Linked DNA regions of Tamandua tetradactyla. The protein of the gene in region 2 purifies or fractionates together with the protein of the main gene of each other region. This does not show direct contact. Links are inferred from orthologs where the notes say so. Each region holds a gene or a part of one and is shown on either strand. Other genes may lie near its edges.

What was found.
Region 1: the proteins of CD19 (region 2) and CD81 purify together in Homo sapiens (affinity purification with western blotting, with the first as the bait; 3 studies listed by BioGRID). This does not show direct contact. The link is inferred for Tamandua tetradactyla from reciprocal best matches to the Homo sapiens genes CD19 and CD81.

Annotation. Positions count from the first base shown.
Region 1 is NC_135335.1:2,264,033-2,272,601, reverse strand, and holds the start of CD81 (CD81 antigen), read right to left. Parts: upstream 3,225-8,569; 5' UTR 3,171-3,224; coding exon 3,105-3,170; intron 1-3,104. UniProt on the Homo sapiens protein: Structural component of specialized membrane microdomains known as tetraspanin-enriched microdomains (TERMs), which act as platforms for receptor clustering and signaling.
Region 2 is NC_135349.1:25,082,151-25,090,232, forward strand, and holds the start of CD19 (B-lymphocyte antigen CD19), read left to right. Parts: upstream 1-4,637; 5' UTR 4,638-4,685; coding exon 4,686-4,773; intron 4,774-5,005; coding exon 5,006-5,272; intron 5,273-5,604; coding exon 5,605-5,808; intron 5,809-5,962; coding exon 5,963-6,256; intron 6,257-7,167; coding exon 7,168-7,278; intron 7,279-7,530; coding exon 7,531-7,579; intron 7,580-7,829; coding exon 7,830-7,918; intron 7,919-8,082. UniProt on the Homo sapiens protein: Functions as a coreceptor for the B-cell antigen receptor complex (BCR) on B-lymphocytes. Decreases the threshold for activation of downstream signaling pathways and for triggering B-cell responses to antigens.

The DNA.
Region 1 (8,569 bases), on a different chromosome or scaffold from region 2:
GCCCTCCTCGTGGCACGTGACCTGCAGCTTGGGGGTAGTAGGAGGGGCACATGGCCTTTCTGAGCTTAGACAAGGGGGATTCTCCTCCCAGCCAGCTGGCTCCCTGCTCCCAGGCACCCCTGTGCCCCTGCCCCAAGCAGCGAGGCTCTGACATGCCTCCCTGCACCCCAGCCTCAGCCGGCACCAGGCGTGAGCCTGGACGGCAGCAGCCCTGGCGTGAAATCCGCAGTCAGTACTCCTGCGTCTGGGGGCTGCCTGGAGGGTCCCCAAAGTGTCCTCACAGGGCTCAGCATTTGCTCTGCAGCACCCCCAGAGGCGGAGCTGAGGCTAGGCCCAGAAGTATAAAGTAGGGGCACCGAGGAAGTTCAGGGGTTTCTGGGAGGGGTCCCCCGGGGCCACCAGGCAGCCCTTCCTCGGCCTGGTCCCAGAACTCAAGGCTGGACTGATTTCATGACCAAAGCTCTCCCCAGGGTGGGATTTCAGCCTGGAAACTGAAAGCGTGGGGGGCCTGGGGGTCCATCTCCCCATGTGGGCTTAGAAGTTGTCAGGAGACAGGGAAGTCAATTTACAGAGTGACCACACAGGGGTGGGCAAGGGTGAGACCTGAGGGATCAAAGCGGGGGAGTGTCTCACATGCTGCCTGGGGAGGGTGGGAGAGGGGCTGGCCTCAGCCAGCACCCACAGGGTCCCCGGGGCCCAAGCTAGCACCCATGGGGTCCCCGGGTTCCCCCGTGCCTGAGTCCTGCGCAATCTGGAGGGTGTAAGCACCCACGGGCCAAGCATCCTCGGCTGCGGCCAGCCCGTCTTGGACAAACCACAGATATGCTCCTACCAGCCAGCCTGAGAGCAGCTCCCCAGTGCCCAGGGGAACTGGGGGTAAAACAGGCACGAGGGAATCCCCGCCCCGCCCTTGGGTGCCAGCTGTCTCCACCAGGAAGCTCCTGACCCATGCTGAGAACAGGTTTTGCACACTGCCTGGGTCTTGGCCGGAGGAGGAAGGCAAGTGAGAGCGAGCGAGTGTCCATGTAGGGGCACCTGGGCCAGGATAGAGTGGAAGAGCCATGTCACGTGGGATGGCCCCCAGGCACTGCCACACTGACCCATCATGGCTGCTGCCCTGCTGGCCATCACATCCAACGCCCATCTCCTGCCCCCCCACCCTGTGCCAAGTCACCAACAACCCCGGGAAATGGGACCCCTAGGACAGGGCAGGAAGCCAAGGCCGGACTCCACCCAGCTCCCACTCCAAGTGGTTCAGGGGCTCGGCCAGCCCCACCCTACTCTGTTCTGCATCCCCCCCCCAGGGCCCAGGGGGTGGGTGGGTGCTCCTGTGTCTCAAAGTGCTTGGATAGGTGGCCCACCAGCTCCCGCACAGGGCAGAGAGGCTCAGCTCAGAAGCCGTTCCTGGAGCCTCGATAATAAAGAGCAGCCCCCCCGGGGACTCGTTAGACTGCCACCCCTGCGGGGGGGAGGGGGGAAACAACGGCCGACTGGCCCAGCTCCCAGGGGAGGTGCGGGAGGGACTCGCCCAGCAGGGTCCCAGGAGGCAGGAACACAAGTCCCTTCCCTGTGCCTGTGCCTCCCTTCCAACCAGGGTCGACACCCCCAAATCCAAGCAGAGACGCCACTGGGACATCCCATATCAGTCTCCTGGGGCCAAGGCAGGCAGACTTTAAACATGCTGAAGCCAGCACTCCAGGACCCCCAGCTGGGAACTCCCACCCAGCCCTGGCCAGAGGGACCCCGTGCCCTCCTGCAGTATAGCCCAGCTTGGAGAAGGACAGCACGACCCCTCTCTTGGGTGCTCAGTCCAGTCTCTGTCCCCCCACCCCCCTCCCAAATACCTCACTGCCCCCGCAAGCATCCTCAGTGTCCAGATGGGAAACAGATGTGCCAGGCCCAAACGCGCCTGCCTGGGGGACATCTGCAAGTTTACCCTGCTGGACTCCACAAAGATGCGGGCCACTGTCCCCTGTGAGAGAGGGAGTTCATGCCCGGGATGGAGGGGCAGCAAGGGAAGGGACCCGCGGTCAGGCCAGCCCCCCACCAGCAACCTCCCTGCCCCCAGTCCTGAAGGAGTCTCCCTCTGCTCCCAGATTCCAGGGCTAACGGGAAATGGAAACAAAAGGAAAAGCGCACCCCCGGGGAATTCCCAGCAGTTCAGGCAGGGCAGAAGAAAGCAGCTCCTCCAGGGAGACTCTCCAGTCCCCCAAAAATTCATCATCAGAGGTGACCACAGCATGGGTCCCTCTTCCCAGAAGGCAAGCTCTCGCCCAGGACTTGGGTACTGGTGCCGGGACCCTGTCTTGAGCCCACTCGGGACGCCGGCCCCCCCTCCCCTCCACGGCAGTCCCTCCCCCTCCCCCACACCCACTCCAGGGTGCATGGGAGACAAGGCCAGGGCTGAGGTCCCACGACGGATGGGCAGACGAGGCGGGGGCAGGCACCCCAACACGCAGACACGCCTGAGCCAAGCCCACTGCTTTCCTGACCCCAGGATTCAGAAGCGGTCACAGCGGTTGGAGGCTGGGCTGGAGGGGGGGCTGTGGACGGTCCCAAAGCCTGGGCCAGTGGGCCGACGCAGGGGCGGTGGCCCCGATGAGCTCATGGGGGCGGGGCGCCAAGAGCCCCGCCCCAGCCCCCTCCCGCCCCCCTAAGTAGGGTGGTCCCGGGATCAGCCGCTCGGGAGAGCGGGCTGCGGCCGTCCCCCACCGAGGGGTGCCCGCGCGCGCGGCCTCGGGTCCCGCAGCCCCCACTCCAGTCCCTCATGTGGGGATCGGCGGCTCCGAGCGCCGACGTCACCCCCCCCCAGGGCCCCCCAAATGCCCCGGCCCGGCCGCGCGGCCCGGAGCCCCTGACGCACAGAGGCCCGGGCGTCCCGTAACCCCGCGCCGACCCCGCGGGCAGGGGCGCAGCGACCACGGGCGAGCCCCCGCGCCCCGGGCACGCAGGCCGGGCGCCCACAGGTGGCCCCGCAACTTGGCGGGCCGCGGCCGGGCTGCGCCGCCGCCTGCGCTCGGGCCTAGCCGGGGCCCGGCCTGCGGGAGTCCGGGGCGTCCCCGCAGGAACCACCCCGCCCCCCGACCTCCGGCGGCGCCGCTTACCCAGAAGACGAAATTGAAGACGAAGAGCAGGTACTTGATGCACTTGGTGCAGCCTTCCACCCCCATGGCGGCGGGAGCGGCGGGGGCCGGGCCTGGGCGGCGGGCGGGGGCGCCGAGGGGCCGGGGGGAGGCCGGGGGTCAGGGACGCGGCGCGGGGGGCGCGGGGGGGGCGCGGGAGGCCTGGTCGGTGCGCGCTCGGGTCGCCGCGGCCGCTGCTGCTGCTGCGCGCTCGCTCTCTGGCCGTGCGCGCGCCCCGCTCCGCGCCTCTTATAGGACGCACGAGGCCCCGCCCCTTCCCCGCCCCCCGCCCCGCCCGCTGCCCGCAGCGGCCCGAGCGCGCGGGGCCGCCGGGAGTCCAGAGTCGGGCCCGCGCGCGGCGTGGGGGGTGGGAGTGCGGGCAGTCCATTGGTGTCCCCACGGGGTTCCCGCAGACCAGCGCGGGCTGGCTGGGAGGTCTGGGCCGGCGGGAGGACGGTCAAGCAGGCTGTGCTTCCCCTCATCCCCTGGGAGGGGCCGGAGCCCCCCGGGGCGCCAGGCCCCACTTCCCGCTGTGGTCCCCAAAGCCTGGTGGCCAGGCCCCCGCCCCCGCCGGCTTGGGGCAGTGAGGAAGGGAGACCCATGGGGACGGTGTGGGGGTGGGTGACCCACAGATGAAGTTTCTGCCCATTCTTGCCCAGAGAAACAGGGAGGGCCAGGCAGAGCCCACTCACGGTTCGCCCCACCCTCCGGACCACAGAGCCACCCTTTAGGAGCTACCCCACCCCACCCGCCACTCCCGCAGCTGCCATAGCCGAAAGCCCTGTGTCTGCCTGACACCTGGCTGTTTGTGACCTTTGAGCCGGTGAAGTGTGGCTGGTGCCTCTGAGAACTGCATTTTTAATAGAATTTAGGGGTAGCTGAAATTCGGATAACCAGCCATCAGTCTCAGCTGCTTCTACTTAATTCTGTCGTCTTCTCTGGTTAATTTGTAAATCTGTGTTGGTTTTGTACTTGGACAAGAGCTGCAAGCGTGAGTTTAGAGCTAGTTTTTTGTGCCTATCTATGTGACGTGATAATAAAAGTAAGTCTTCCCCGGGGTCAGGGAGTGTTTGTTTCACTTAAAGGAGACGGAACAGTGATGGAAGGAAACAGTCACCCAGGTGTTCTGGGCACCTGCTGTCCCATCACAAGTTGCATCTAAGTGACAAGGAGGGGTGTGGGGGCTATGGCCGGCTCGTTCTCTCCCTTCTGCAGTCGTGGAGAACACCTGCTGGACACCTGCTACATACCAGACACGGTGCCGGGGCCCGGCTGGGGACTGGGCAGCCAGGGCGCCTTCCCCTGAGGGCCCTGGGCTCCGGTGGGGGAGCTGGGTGATCAGACTGACCCTGGGAACCTGGAGAGTAGCGAACGTTGCGAAATCCCCCATCCCTTTGTGTTCCGGAAGGTGGCTGGCTGCAGAGCCCGCCCTCCCCGTGAGATTCAGATAAGCCCCTTATTTCCCAGGAGCAGCCGGCCCTGCACAGGTCACTCGTGGCTCACAGAGGACGTGCTGAGCCGCGGGTCCCACTGAGCCACCAGACCCTGAGCCCTGAGGGTGCGTAGAGGGCAATCCTGCAGAGGGCAGGGAGGGGCATTCACTGGGCAGGGGGGAGGGGCCAGGTGCCTTGGAGAAGCAGGAAGGAGGCCAGTGGGATAGGGGCAGAGGGAGTTATGGGGACAGGGCTGAGGCTGGGCAGAGGAGAAGGCAGGGCAGTTGGGGGGCAGGTGGAGAAGTCAGGGGCAGGCAGGACACTCGAAGGGGCAATCAGGGAAGTCAGGGGGGCAGTTGGGGGGCAGGCAGGAAGGTCAGGGGCAGGCAGGGAGGGGTTGGGGGCAGGCAGGCCAGCATGAGGTCCTGAAGCATAGGGAAGGTGCCCTGGATTCGGAGTGGCAGTGGGAGTGGGGGGCTCCGGTTTCCCGGGGGGATTGACTGAAGGGTGGCCCACATGGCAGCAAGGAGAAGGGTCAGGAGGCTGCCTCGGCCCGCCATGGAAGGACACCCCGGCCCCACAAGCTGGCAGGGAGCACGACTAAGAGGGTACAGGCGGACCCCTCCCAGTGCCCTGCGCATGGGGGGTGCCCACACGCTCAGGCCAGGCCCTCCCAGGGGCACCACGTCATGCCCTGCACACAGCTAGGTTCCCACCCAGTGGCCCCCGGCTTGATCCAGCGGGGACCGCAGGGGACCGGCCAGCAGTGATGGCACAGGCCTGTCCTAGGAAGGGCCCCCTTTGTCATCTGGCCAGCTCCAGGACACCAGGAGAAGGACAGAGCAGAGGCGGGGCCGTCCAGAGGCCATGCCCGGGGCCCAGGCGCTGTGGGCCCTGAGAGGGACTGAGGTTGTGCATTCGTTTGCAGGCTGCTGGAATGCAATACCACAGAACTGGAAGGGCTTTGACAATGGGGGAATTTAATAACTTACAAGTTTACAGTTCTAGAGCTGAAAAATGTCCAAATTAAGGCACCAACAAGAAGTTACCTTCACTCAAGGAAGGCTGATGCCATCAGGAACACGTCTGTCAGCTGGGAAGGCACATGGCTGGCATCTGCTGGTCCCTTGTTCCTGGGCTCTGTTGCTTTCAGCCTCGGTTCCTGTGGGGGCTCCTCACTTTGCTTCTCCAGGGCTGACTTTCATCTCTTGCCTCCCCTTGGCTCTCTCCAGGTTCTGGCTTGCTTAACATCTCATGGCAACGTCTGCTGGGCTCCAAGCATCTCCAACCATCTGTGTCTCTGTTCTGCAAGTGTTGGCATCAGTGTCAGCTCTGCTCTGAAGTTTCCGTTGGCTCTGAGGCTTCTGTCCTTTCTCCAAATTGTTTCCCCTTTTAAAAACTCTAATGATCTAATCAAGACCCACCTAGAATGGGTGGGGTCACATCTCCATTAAATCAAAAGATTACACCCACAATTGGGCGTGTCACGTCTCCATGGAGATAATCGAATCGAAACTTTCCACCATGCGATATTGAATCAGGATGAGAAGAAAAAGCTGCCCTCACGAGATTCAGTCAGGATTAATACATGGCTTTTCTGGGGTACATAATACTTTCCAGCCAGCACAGGGTGTAATGAGGAGACAGTGGCTGCATGGGGACAGCAGGCCAGCCGGCTGTGGCTCGGTCTCCTGCTCTGTACTGGGTTGGGTGATGTTCCCCTAAAACTGATGTCCACCTGGACCCCAAGGACATGACCGTATTTGGAAATAGGGTCTTTGCAGATAGAATTAGTAAAAATTGAGGTCATTCTGAGTTGGAGTGGGTCTTCTAATAAAAAGCTGCTCTTCTAGGAAGGCCAGGGAAAGACACCGAGAGGAGACAGTGTATTGCTGCCGCAAGCCGGGGGGGACCCCCAGGAGTGGGAAGAGGCAAGCAAGAGCTCACCCTCAGAGCCTCTCAAAGGAACCAACCCTGCCAACGCCTTGATTTCGGTCTCTGGCCTCCAGAGCTATGAGAGACGGTATTTCTGTTGCTTTCATCCTCCCAGTGTGGGGTGTGTGCCCCAGAAAAAGCCGTGTTCTTTTCATCCATTTCTGTGGGGGCAAACCTGTCGTGGGCGGGGACCTTTTGTTTAGGTTGCTTCGTTTGAAATGTGACCGGGCCCATGCAAGCTGGGCCCTAATCCTTCTCTGGAGCCCTTTATGAGATGATAAGGACAGGAAAAGCCAAGAGAGCCTATAGAGAAGAGCCCTGGAGAAGCTAAGAGAGGACGCAGACACTCAGCGAGGAAGCCACTGGAACCAGGAGCTGAAAGCAATGAAACCTGGGAGCAAAGGACCAGCAGACCCCGGCCATGTGCCTTCCCACATGACAGAGGTGTCCTGGATGCCAGCAGCTCGTTTTCAGAGTCCAGGTATCGTCCTGTCAATGCCTCAATTGGCACACTTTCATGGCCTTAGAATTGCAGACTGTAAGCTGCAATTTTTTGCACCCCCGTTGCAAAAGCCAACCCATTTCTGGTTTGTAGCACCCTGGCAGTTTAGCTAACCGAAATGGGGTGCTTTGTTACAGCCGCCACAGGGCACTGATACCAGGCAACTCTGGCGGGGTCCCGGATGCAGCCGGGGGTCTGGGTGGGTTAGACCTGCAAACAGCACAGCCATGAGGGCGGGGTCACCTTAGCAGAGCCGGCGCCGGGCAAGTTGTGTCCTCCGGGGGTCCACTGTCCCGGGCTCCTGGAGCCGGCCGCTCAGCACCCCCTGGAGCCCACCCCTGGGAATAACTGAAAACCACCGAAATACAGACAAACGGGTGACTTATTCGGAGAGGCTGTAGCAAGGGAGCTGATGGCCGTCACTGGGGGTTGGCAGATAAGGGCAGGCACGGGGTGGGACAGCTTCGTAGTGGAAAAACAAGGGTGGGGAGGGCCTAACTGAAAATCAGTCAGGGTGATACAGCGTATTAGCACATAAGGGACAAAAACAAACAAACAAACAAAAAAACACAGAAACGTCTCAATTTTCTTTTCATGCAGAAAAAGCATTTGACAAAATCCAACACATTTTCAAGATGAAAAACAAAAACTCCACAAAGCAGGAACAGAAGGGAGCATTCTTGACCTGATAAAGGGAATCCTCAAAAGCCACAGCCAGCCTCATACGTGAACGCTGAAACCCTTCCCCCATGGCAAGGATTCAGCTTTCACCATTTTTAGTCAAAATTTGACTGGAAGTTCTAGCCAGGGCCACTAGACAAGAAAATTAAGTAAAAGGCACCCAGATTGGAAAGAAAGAACTTAAAACTATCTCAGTTTGCAAATGAATGCTCTCATGTAGAAAAAATCCTAAGAAGTCCATTAAAAAATCTCATAGAATTAATAAACCCATCCAGCAACGTGGCAGCTCACAGCATCCGTGGACAAAAATCAATTGCATTTCTCTACGCCAGTAACGAACAACGCCAAAATGAAATTGAAGACACAATCCCATATAACCCCATATTTATCATAGCAGCAGAAAGGATGAAATACCTAGGAAGCATTTTACAAAAGAAGTGCAAGGTTTGTATATCGGAAACTACAGATACTCTTGAAGGAAATTTAAGAAGATCTAAATAAATGGGAAAACACCGCATTTTCATGGCTCAGAAGGCCGCATTATTGAGATGACAATGCTGCCCAAACTGATTTACAGATTCAGCCCAATCCCTACCAAATCGAAGCTGCATTTCGGTGCAGAAATTGACAAGCTGATCTTCAGCTTCATATAGAAATGCAGGGAACAGAAGAGGAGAGAACAGTCAAGGAAACTCACACTGTCAAAACTTACTGCAAAAGGACAACCATCAGGAAAGCGTGGTGCTGACATCAGGACAGACGTACAGACCAGCGAACTAGCCCTGACAGCCCAGAGACAAACCCCCACACCCACGGTCAGCTGGTCTGGCCGAGACCAGGCAGGGCAAGAGTAGTCTCTTCACCCGGTGTTGCTGGGACGACTAGATACCCATTTG
Region 2 (8,082 bases):
TTAGGAGGCACTAAATAAACGTTTGGTGGATGAACATACATTTTCCTTCCTGGCCTCCCTGACCTCCCTTCCTCCAACTCACCCTCCACCCTGCAGCCAGGGAAGCTTTGGAAAATGCAAATCTATCCAAGTCAGCTCCAGGCTTATAAACTCCCATTGACTTCTTGTGGCCCTCAGGATAAAGTTCAGACTCCCTGTTTCTGGAGTAAGATTTCTGGGGAAGGGGATGAAACAGTGACTAGAAGTAAGGGTCCAGTCAGTTTGGCGAGAGCCTTAATGCCAGCTTTCAGACTTGGGCTTTAGCCGGCAGGCCCTGGGAGCCATCAAAGGCTTCTGAGTCAGGCAGGTATGTGACCAATATCAAAGATATATCCGTGTGGAGTGTAGGTGGGGCACGAAAGAGATGGGGGGGCTGGAAGCCCAGGCAGAAGGCTACTGGAATGGTTCCAGTTGTAACGGGAAGGGTCCAAAGTTAGAAGAACGTTGATTCTAGAAATATTTAGGATATGAAATGGACTACCCTTAGTGAAAGAACATGTTGGGAGGAAGAGAAAAGAAAACTTTCACTTTTTCCTAGCTTCCTTCCTTTATTCAACATTTATTGAGCACCTACTAGATGCCAGCAAACAGGACAATCAAGGTCCCTGGTCTCACAGAGTGAACATTGTGCTGCAGGAGGCAAATGAGGAGGCTAACAATTAAGAAAGTATAACTTGTGATTGGGGCACGTGCTGGGAAAGAAATTAAAAAGCATGAGATCAAAAGTAAGTGGGGTGCAGCCCCTTGTAGAGCAGTGTGGGTTCCACAGGAGGCTAGGGATGGTTGCCATGTGATCCTGAAACCCCATTGCTCAGTATATTCCTGGAGGAACTGAGTGTGGGGACAGGAATGGACATTTGTACACTTGTGTTTATGGTGGCAGTATTCCTGATCCACAATGAATGAAGGTGGGGCACAATGACGGAGGAATGGAAGTGGGTACTATGGTGTACACATACACTGGACTACTGAATCTCCACCAGAAGGAATGAAGTTGTGCAGCATGCAACTAGATGAATGAAGTTAAAGAGCTGTATGTTAAATGAAATGTCAGGAACAAAAAGACAAATATTATCCCGCTTCAACTATATGGACTAACTATAATATAAAAATCTGGTGAACTACAGTCGAGAGCATGGGTTATCAGGTTGGGGGTTATTGTAAAGGATCCTAGATTGTAAGCTCTGAAAGCAGTCGTAAATGTTTAGGAGTGTAACTGTTATTTCTAAATTCTGAGATACTGAGGTGTTTGCATATAACATGGGTTTTCCCAGAAACTTCGGGTATTTGTGTGACACCTGAGACTCAGAGTCAGAGCTCTGAAGCTATCAAAGTCAGCAGTACCCCATACAGGAACTGTTTAAAGAGTTGAAAAAGTGATCAGACTTCGAGTAGAGATATGAATGAAGATGATATCATCCGTATCTTAAAACTTCAACTTCTGTGTCAGACTAAAGGGAGAGAAGTCTATTTGGTGCAAGATTTATATTTTGGGTAGTGCATTTCCTGATTTAATTTGTATAGTCAGTTTAGTTGAACACCATAGATACAGGGAATCTTGAATAGGGCATGAGATTTTATTGGTTGTCCAAGTTAATGTGATGGCCTGATAAATTCCAGAGTGATATGGACAGTGAATAAAGAAGTATTTGTAAAGTCCCCTTGGGGGAATTGGGAGAAAGAGGGAAAGATGCAACTTCCCCATTTAGAGAATTTCTGATACTCTCACAAGCAATGGGGACAACCAAATCAATAGGCCAACCCCTCGATCTTGGGGTTCATCCCTATGAAACTTATTCCTGCAAAGGGTAGGCTAAGCCTGCTTAAAATGAGGCCTAAGAGTCGTCCCTAGAGAACCTCTTTTGTTGCTCAGATGTGGCCTCTCTCTCTAAGCTGACATGGCAAGTGAACCCACTGCCCTCCCCCATCTACGTGGGATATGACTCCCAGGGGTGTATATCTTCCTGGCAACATGGGACAGGAATCCCAGAATGAGCTGGGACCCAGCATCAAGGGACTGAGAGAGCCTTTTTTAAAAAAATTTATTTATTAATTAAAAAGTAAAGAAACAAAATAAAACATACATAATCAGTAATTCACAATATCATCACTTAGTTGCATATTCATCATTTCTTAGAAAATTTGCATTAATTCAGAAAAAGAAATAAAAAGACAATAGAAAAAGAAATAAAACGAACACAGGAGAGAAAGCCTTCTTGACCAAAAGGGGGAAGAGAGAAATAAGGCAAAATAAAGTCAGTGGCTGAAAGATTTCAAACAGAACTGAGAGGTTATCCTGGAGGTTATTCTTACACATTATACAGATATCCCTTTTCAGTTTATAGTGTATTTGAGTGGCTAAAGGGAAGTGCCTGAAACTTTGGAGCTGTGTTCCAGTAGCCTTGTTCCTTGAAGATGATTGTATAATGATATAGCTTTTACAATGTGACTGTGTCATTGTGAAAACCTTGTATCTGATACTCCTTTTATCTAAGATATGGACAGATGAATAAAAAATATGGATAAAAAATAAACAGATAATAGGGGGAACAAAGGTTAAAATAAATTGGATAGATGAAAATACTAGTGGTTAATGAGAGGGAAGGGTTAAGGGTATGGGATGTATGAGTTTTTTCTAACTTTTTATTTCTTTTTCTGGAGTGATGCAGAAAAAATGATCATGGTGATGAATACACAACTATGAGATGTTATTGTGAGCCACTGATTGTACACCATGCATGGAATGTTTGTATGTTAAGAATGTCTGTATTTGTATGTTGTTTCACCAATAAAAATATTAAATAAAAAAAAGTAACTGGGGAGAAGGAAGGGATCAGGGTAGGCCCTTTAAATGCTGAGACCCGACCGAACCGAGTGATGAAGGAACCAGCCCCCTTGAGTTGCTGTGCTACAGATCCCAGAAGAAGAGCAGCGAGTGCAGAGGCCCTGAGGGTGGGAAAGCCTGTGAGTTGGAGGCTGGTGCACTAGGACAGGCACGAAGGATGGGGTGGAGAACACAGGCAAGGGCTGTGGTTTGGAGGTTTTCTTTTAGGTAGGTTAGAAAACCCCCTGAACTGTTTTAAGCAGAGAACTGACATGCTCCAGCAAGAAGGCTGGTGATGGGGACACGTGTGTCAGCAGGGAATCGAATGAAGGGGATCAGAGGGAGTTTGTTGAATAACAATGCCCCACTCTTTCCCCTCCCAGCCACAAAGCTGTTCAAAGGGAAGTGGGGCTCTGCCACCTGGAGGGTCCCCTGGGGTTTGCCCAGAGCAAACAGGAAGCCACAGCCCAGTGAGACAGGCATGGGAATCGGCAACTGAGAAAGTGGGTCTCTTGGGTCCCTCAATCCTTTCCCTCAGTGCCTATAGCAGTGAAGACAAAAGATACCGAGAGAGAGAGAGAGAGAGAGAGAGAGAGAGAGAGAGAGAGAGAGAGAGAGAGAGAGAGAGAGAGAGAGAGAGAGAGAGAGATATGAAGGAGGGAGGGAGGGGGGGAAAGGCGGGGAGGCAGAAGGAAAACAGATTTAGGAAGTCAGGACTCCTCAGTTTTAGTGTTCATTGCGCCCCCAGCTCGATGTGTGATGCTGGGCAATGCCCTGCCTTTTTTGGGGTCTCAATTTCTCCATTTCTAAATGGATTCCTTCCTTAACTGAATGCAGGAGCTACTTAGGGGAAGAACCAGGAGAAAAGAGGGCGTTATTCACCAGTCATTTCTAAGATGGCTGCCAAGGAGCTACAGAGTCTCCTGCCTGCCCCCCACACTGTCAAGCCCTCTCCTGGCTTTATGTGTGTTGACTGATTCATTCTTAGAACAATGGATGGGGGGCCGGAGGTTCTCTCCTCATCACCCCCAATTCACAGGGAAGGACACTTGCCCAAGGGTTTGAATCCAGGCAGACTGGCTCAAACCTGTGGTTTTAGCATTCACTGTGCTGGGCATTGAGCTAAAAATGCCATATACCTACTGTTCTGTCTAATCTTCACGAACAAGCTTTGGGTAGTTGTAGCATTATCTGCAATTTACAGAGATGGAAACTGAGGCTTACAGAAATGAAGAAATTTAGCCAGGTAGTAGAGGCGGAGGATTAAAACACAGGTCTGGCAGATCCCAAAGTGTATGGGATGGGTTAGTGGTTCAGGATAGAATAAAAGCCCAAGAATTATCAAATGAATGAATGGAATGGGTTTGTTGAAAGAATGAGTGGGAAATGGATTTGGAGCCTGGGGTAGGGAGGAGGGAGAAGCAGAGAGCCCCTAAGGTTGAATTCACTCATTCAACAAGTATTTCTTGGGCACCTACTCTGCCAAGCACGGTTTTAGGGCCCTCGGCATTTAGTGGTGAATAAGACATAGTCTCTGCTGTGAGGGGGAAACAGAAAGTGAACACGCAGGCACACAAATAAGACCATTTCACATGGTTGTAAGCACTGGGATGAAAATAAAACAGCGTAGCAGGGAAGAGGCGAGCTTTGTGAGTCTGGTGGGGTGCTTGAAGAAGGGGGCCTGAGGCGTGACCACCCCTTCCTCCCCGGGGGGACTGCCCACCCGCCCCCATAGACGCCCATGGTTCAGTGCCCCCCCAGCCCCCGCCTGCCCAGCATCCTCTGCGCAGCAAAGCTGGGCTTCCTGGGGAGTCTGGCCACCATGCCGCCTCCTCTCCTCCTCTCCTTCCTCCTCTTCCTGATCCCGGTGGGAGTCAGACCCCAGACCCCAGTGCTGGTGGAGGCTGAAGGTAGGTCCGGAGGGCATGGAGGGTAGGCAAAGGGGTTGGAGACCTGGGTTCTGGCTGGGTGGCTTGGCCAAGTAACTTACTCTCTCTGGGCCTCCATTTTCTCATTTGTAAAATTTGGGGAGGGATAGGAAGGAGTCTGAGGACCCATCCACTCCCCACCTGTGGGGTCTGGGTTAGGCCCCAGTGTAAGGAGTGACGGGAGAGTCTTCTCTATCTCTGCCTCTCTCCACAGAGGGAGGTAATGCCTACCTGCAGTGCCTCACAGGCCCCTCGGACGGACCTTCCCAGCAGCTGGCCTGGTCCCGCGGGTCCCAGTCAGCACCCTTCTTAAGGCTGAGCATGAGGCTCCCAGGCCTGGGCATTCAGATGGGACCCCTGGGCATCCTGCTGCTCATCTTCAACGTCTCAGACCAGATGGGGGGCTTCTACCTGTGCCAGCCAGGGCCTCCCTCTGAGAAGGCCTGGCAGCCTGGCTGGACAGTCAGTGTGGAGGGCAGCGGTGAGGGCTGGGCCCAGCTGGGGAAGGGTGGGCTGAGACAGAAGAGGGAGGCCCACCTGAATGAAGGAGTTCCCGGGGCCAAAACTGAGCTGGAGGGAGAGGCTGGGGCTGGGGGGCCCTGTGGGACAAGCAAATGGGCGGGACTCAATGGCTTCAAAACGGAGCTGCACCCAACCCTTCTGTCTTGTACTCTCTGCTCTCTCTACCTGAGTCTCTGTTTGTCCTCCGGCTCTTCTTTGGATCATTGTTGCCATTTGTCTCTGCCTTCTGGGCCTCAGCATCTCTTTCCCTCTCCTGGATGTCTCTGTACCTGGTTCCGGCTCTCTTCCCAGGGGAGCTGTTCCGGTGGAACGCGTCAGACATAGACCACCCAGGCTGTGATCTGGGGAGCAGGTTTGCAGAGGGCTCCAGGCTCTCTTCTGGTCCCCCCACCAGCTCCCAGCTATATATATGGGCTAAAGACCAACCTGAGATCTGGACGGCGGACCCTACATGTGCCCCACCTGGGGACAATCCAAACCATGGCCCCAACCAAGGTAAAGTGACAGGAACTGGCAAGAAGCAAGGAAGTGGAAGTTTGTGTATGTGAGTGTGTGGGGGGGTGCAGTAGATGGAGACTGGGAACTGGAGGGCTTGCGGGGGATGGGACCAAGGACCAAGCTTTCCTAACCTTGGTTCCTTCTACCCTAGATCTCACGGTGACCCGTGGCTCCACACTCTGGCTGTCCTGTGGCATGCCTCCAGATGTCGTGGCTACGGGTCCCATCTCCTGGATCCATGTGCGCCCCAAGGAGCCTGAAATCTCATTGCTGAGCCTAGAACTGAGGGAAAATCCCCCAGTCAGAGAGATGTGGGTTCTGGGGACCCTCAGGGAAAGGGCTCTTCTATTGCTGCCCCAGGTCACAGCTCAAGATGCTGGCACCTACCACTGTCACCATGGCAATGTGACCACCGACTTGCAGTTGAAGGTTATTGTCCGGCCAGGTAGAGAGTTTTTCCCAATTGTGGGCCATCTGTGTGGGGATGCTGGGAAGAAATGGCAGGTAGTCCTCCTTGGACTCTAAACCTAAGGGCTAGTACCAGCCTCACCCTGTACCCCACTTCAACCTTGACCCTCAACTCTTTTCTCCCTCACTTCCTGTACTACTCATTTGTCCTTCCCATCAGCTTTGGTAAGGTCTTCCTTCCTCTTCCACCTTTCACTGCTAGAGCCCTGGTCCTCTTCTCATCTCTGTCCACACTGTCATCCTTGTATACACACTCTCCTTCTTTAACCTCCTTTACTTCCATGGCTGCTTGCACATTCCATGCCCCATACCTAGCTGTCTCCTGGACATTGCCATTTGATGTCCCATGGACACTGAAGACTCAACATCTACAAAATCATCATCTTCCTCCCCAAGTATGGTCTTCTGGGTGGTCCTGTGTAAGGAAGGGCATCACCACCTGCCCACTGGCCCAAACCAGGAACCGGGGTGTCCTTCCTTTTCCTCAACTCATTCATCAAGTTGGTCACAATGTTCTATCCATTCTGTTTCCTTGATCCAATCCTACCATGCTAGCCTAACCACAATTCTCAAACTCAGTCTCAACTTTCACTACAGACGTGACCTCAGCAATGTGCCAGATCCCAACTCTCACCTCCTGAACTCAATTCAGCTCTTGACTTTGACCATGACTGATTCTTATGCTCCCCTTAATCCTAACATGCCCTTGACTCTAGTCATGGTTTGTTCATTCATGGCGCCAGGCTTCATGGCACATCCCTGGCCTCCTAGGACACAGCTCCTTAGAGAGGGAGGGACGAGTGTTGTCTTTGTATCTTGGTTGAGGTCTTGACACTGGGAAGTAAGGTGCCAGTCCTGGGTCCTCGTCTCAAAGCCCCTTTCCTCTAGCAGTATGGCGCTGGCTCCTGAAGAATGGTGGATGGAAGGTCCCAGTTGTGACTCTGGTTTACCTGATCTTCTGCATGGGTTCCATAATGGGCTTTCTTCTTTTTCGAAGGGGTAAGTCATGTTCCCCAGGTGGTCTGCCCAAACCCTGCTCCATCTTCCTCAGGATAATCCCACACTGATAACCTTCTTTCCTCCCATTCCCTCCTTCCATCCCCAAGGACCCCAGAATCCTTTGCCCCACTCCTCCTCGAACCCCCTCAAACTACCATCTCCTCCACTGGCCTGAGTGCTTTCCCTAGAACCCCCCCAAGTCCTCACCCCGCCAAGCAGCCCCTGCCTCTGATCACTCTCAACTCCCACCAGCCCTGATTGTGAAGAAGAAAAGGAAGAGAATGACTGACCCCACCAGGAGGTAACACGGGAGTACCCCCCTCCCCCACCTACAGGCTTTCACTTCATGCTTTGCACTTAACTGTTCCCTGTGCTGGGGGTGAAATATTTCCTAACTCCAAAGCTATCTCCTCTGTGAAGTCTGGCTTGGAGTGATCCCAGGCTCCTCTCTCCTCTGAAGGCTGTCCCACCACAGAGGAGCTAATTATAAGTGGACACCCTTTAACCTCCGAGGGCCTGGCCTCAGGGTGCATCCCTCCCCCCCTCCCCAGGTTCTTCAAAGTGACTCCTCCTCCGGGAAACGGGGCCCAGAACCAGTACGGGAACGTGCTATCCCTTTCCACGACCAGCTCCAGCACCGGTAGGAGGTGCCGCCAGGCCTCGGCTCCCAGCTCGGCCTGTCCCTCCGGCCTCCAGCCCCACCGCCAAGCTGGAGCTCCTCCTGCAGAGCCCATAGAATTCGTTCTCATAGAACCTTCCGCAGGGCCTGAAGGGCGGACCCCACAGCAGAACCCCACCCTAGAA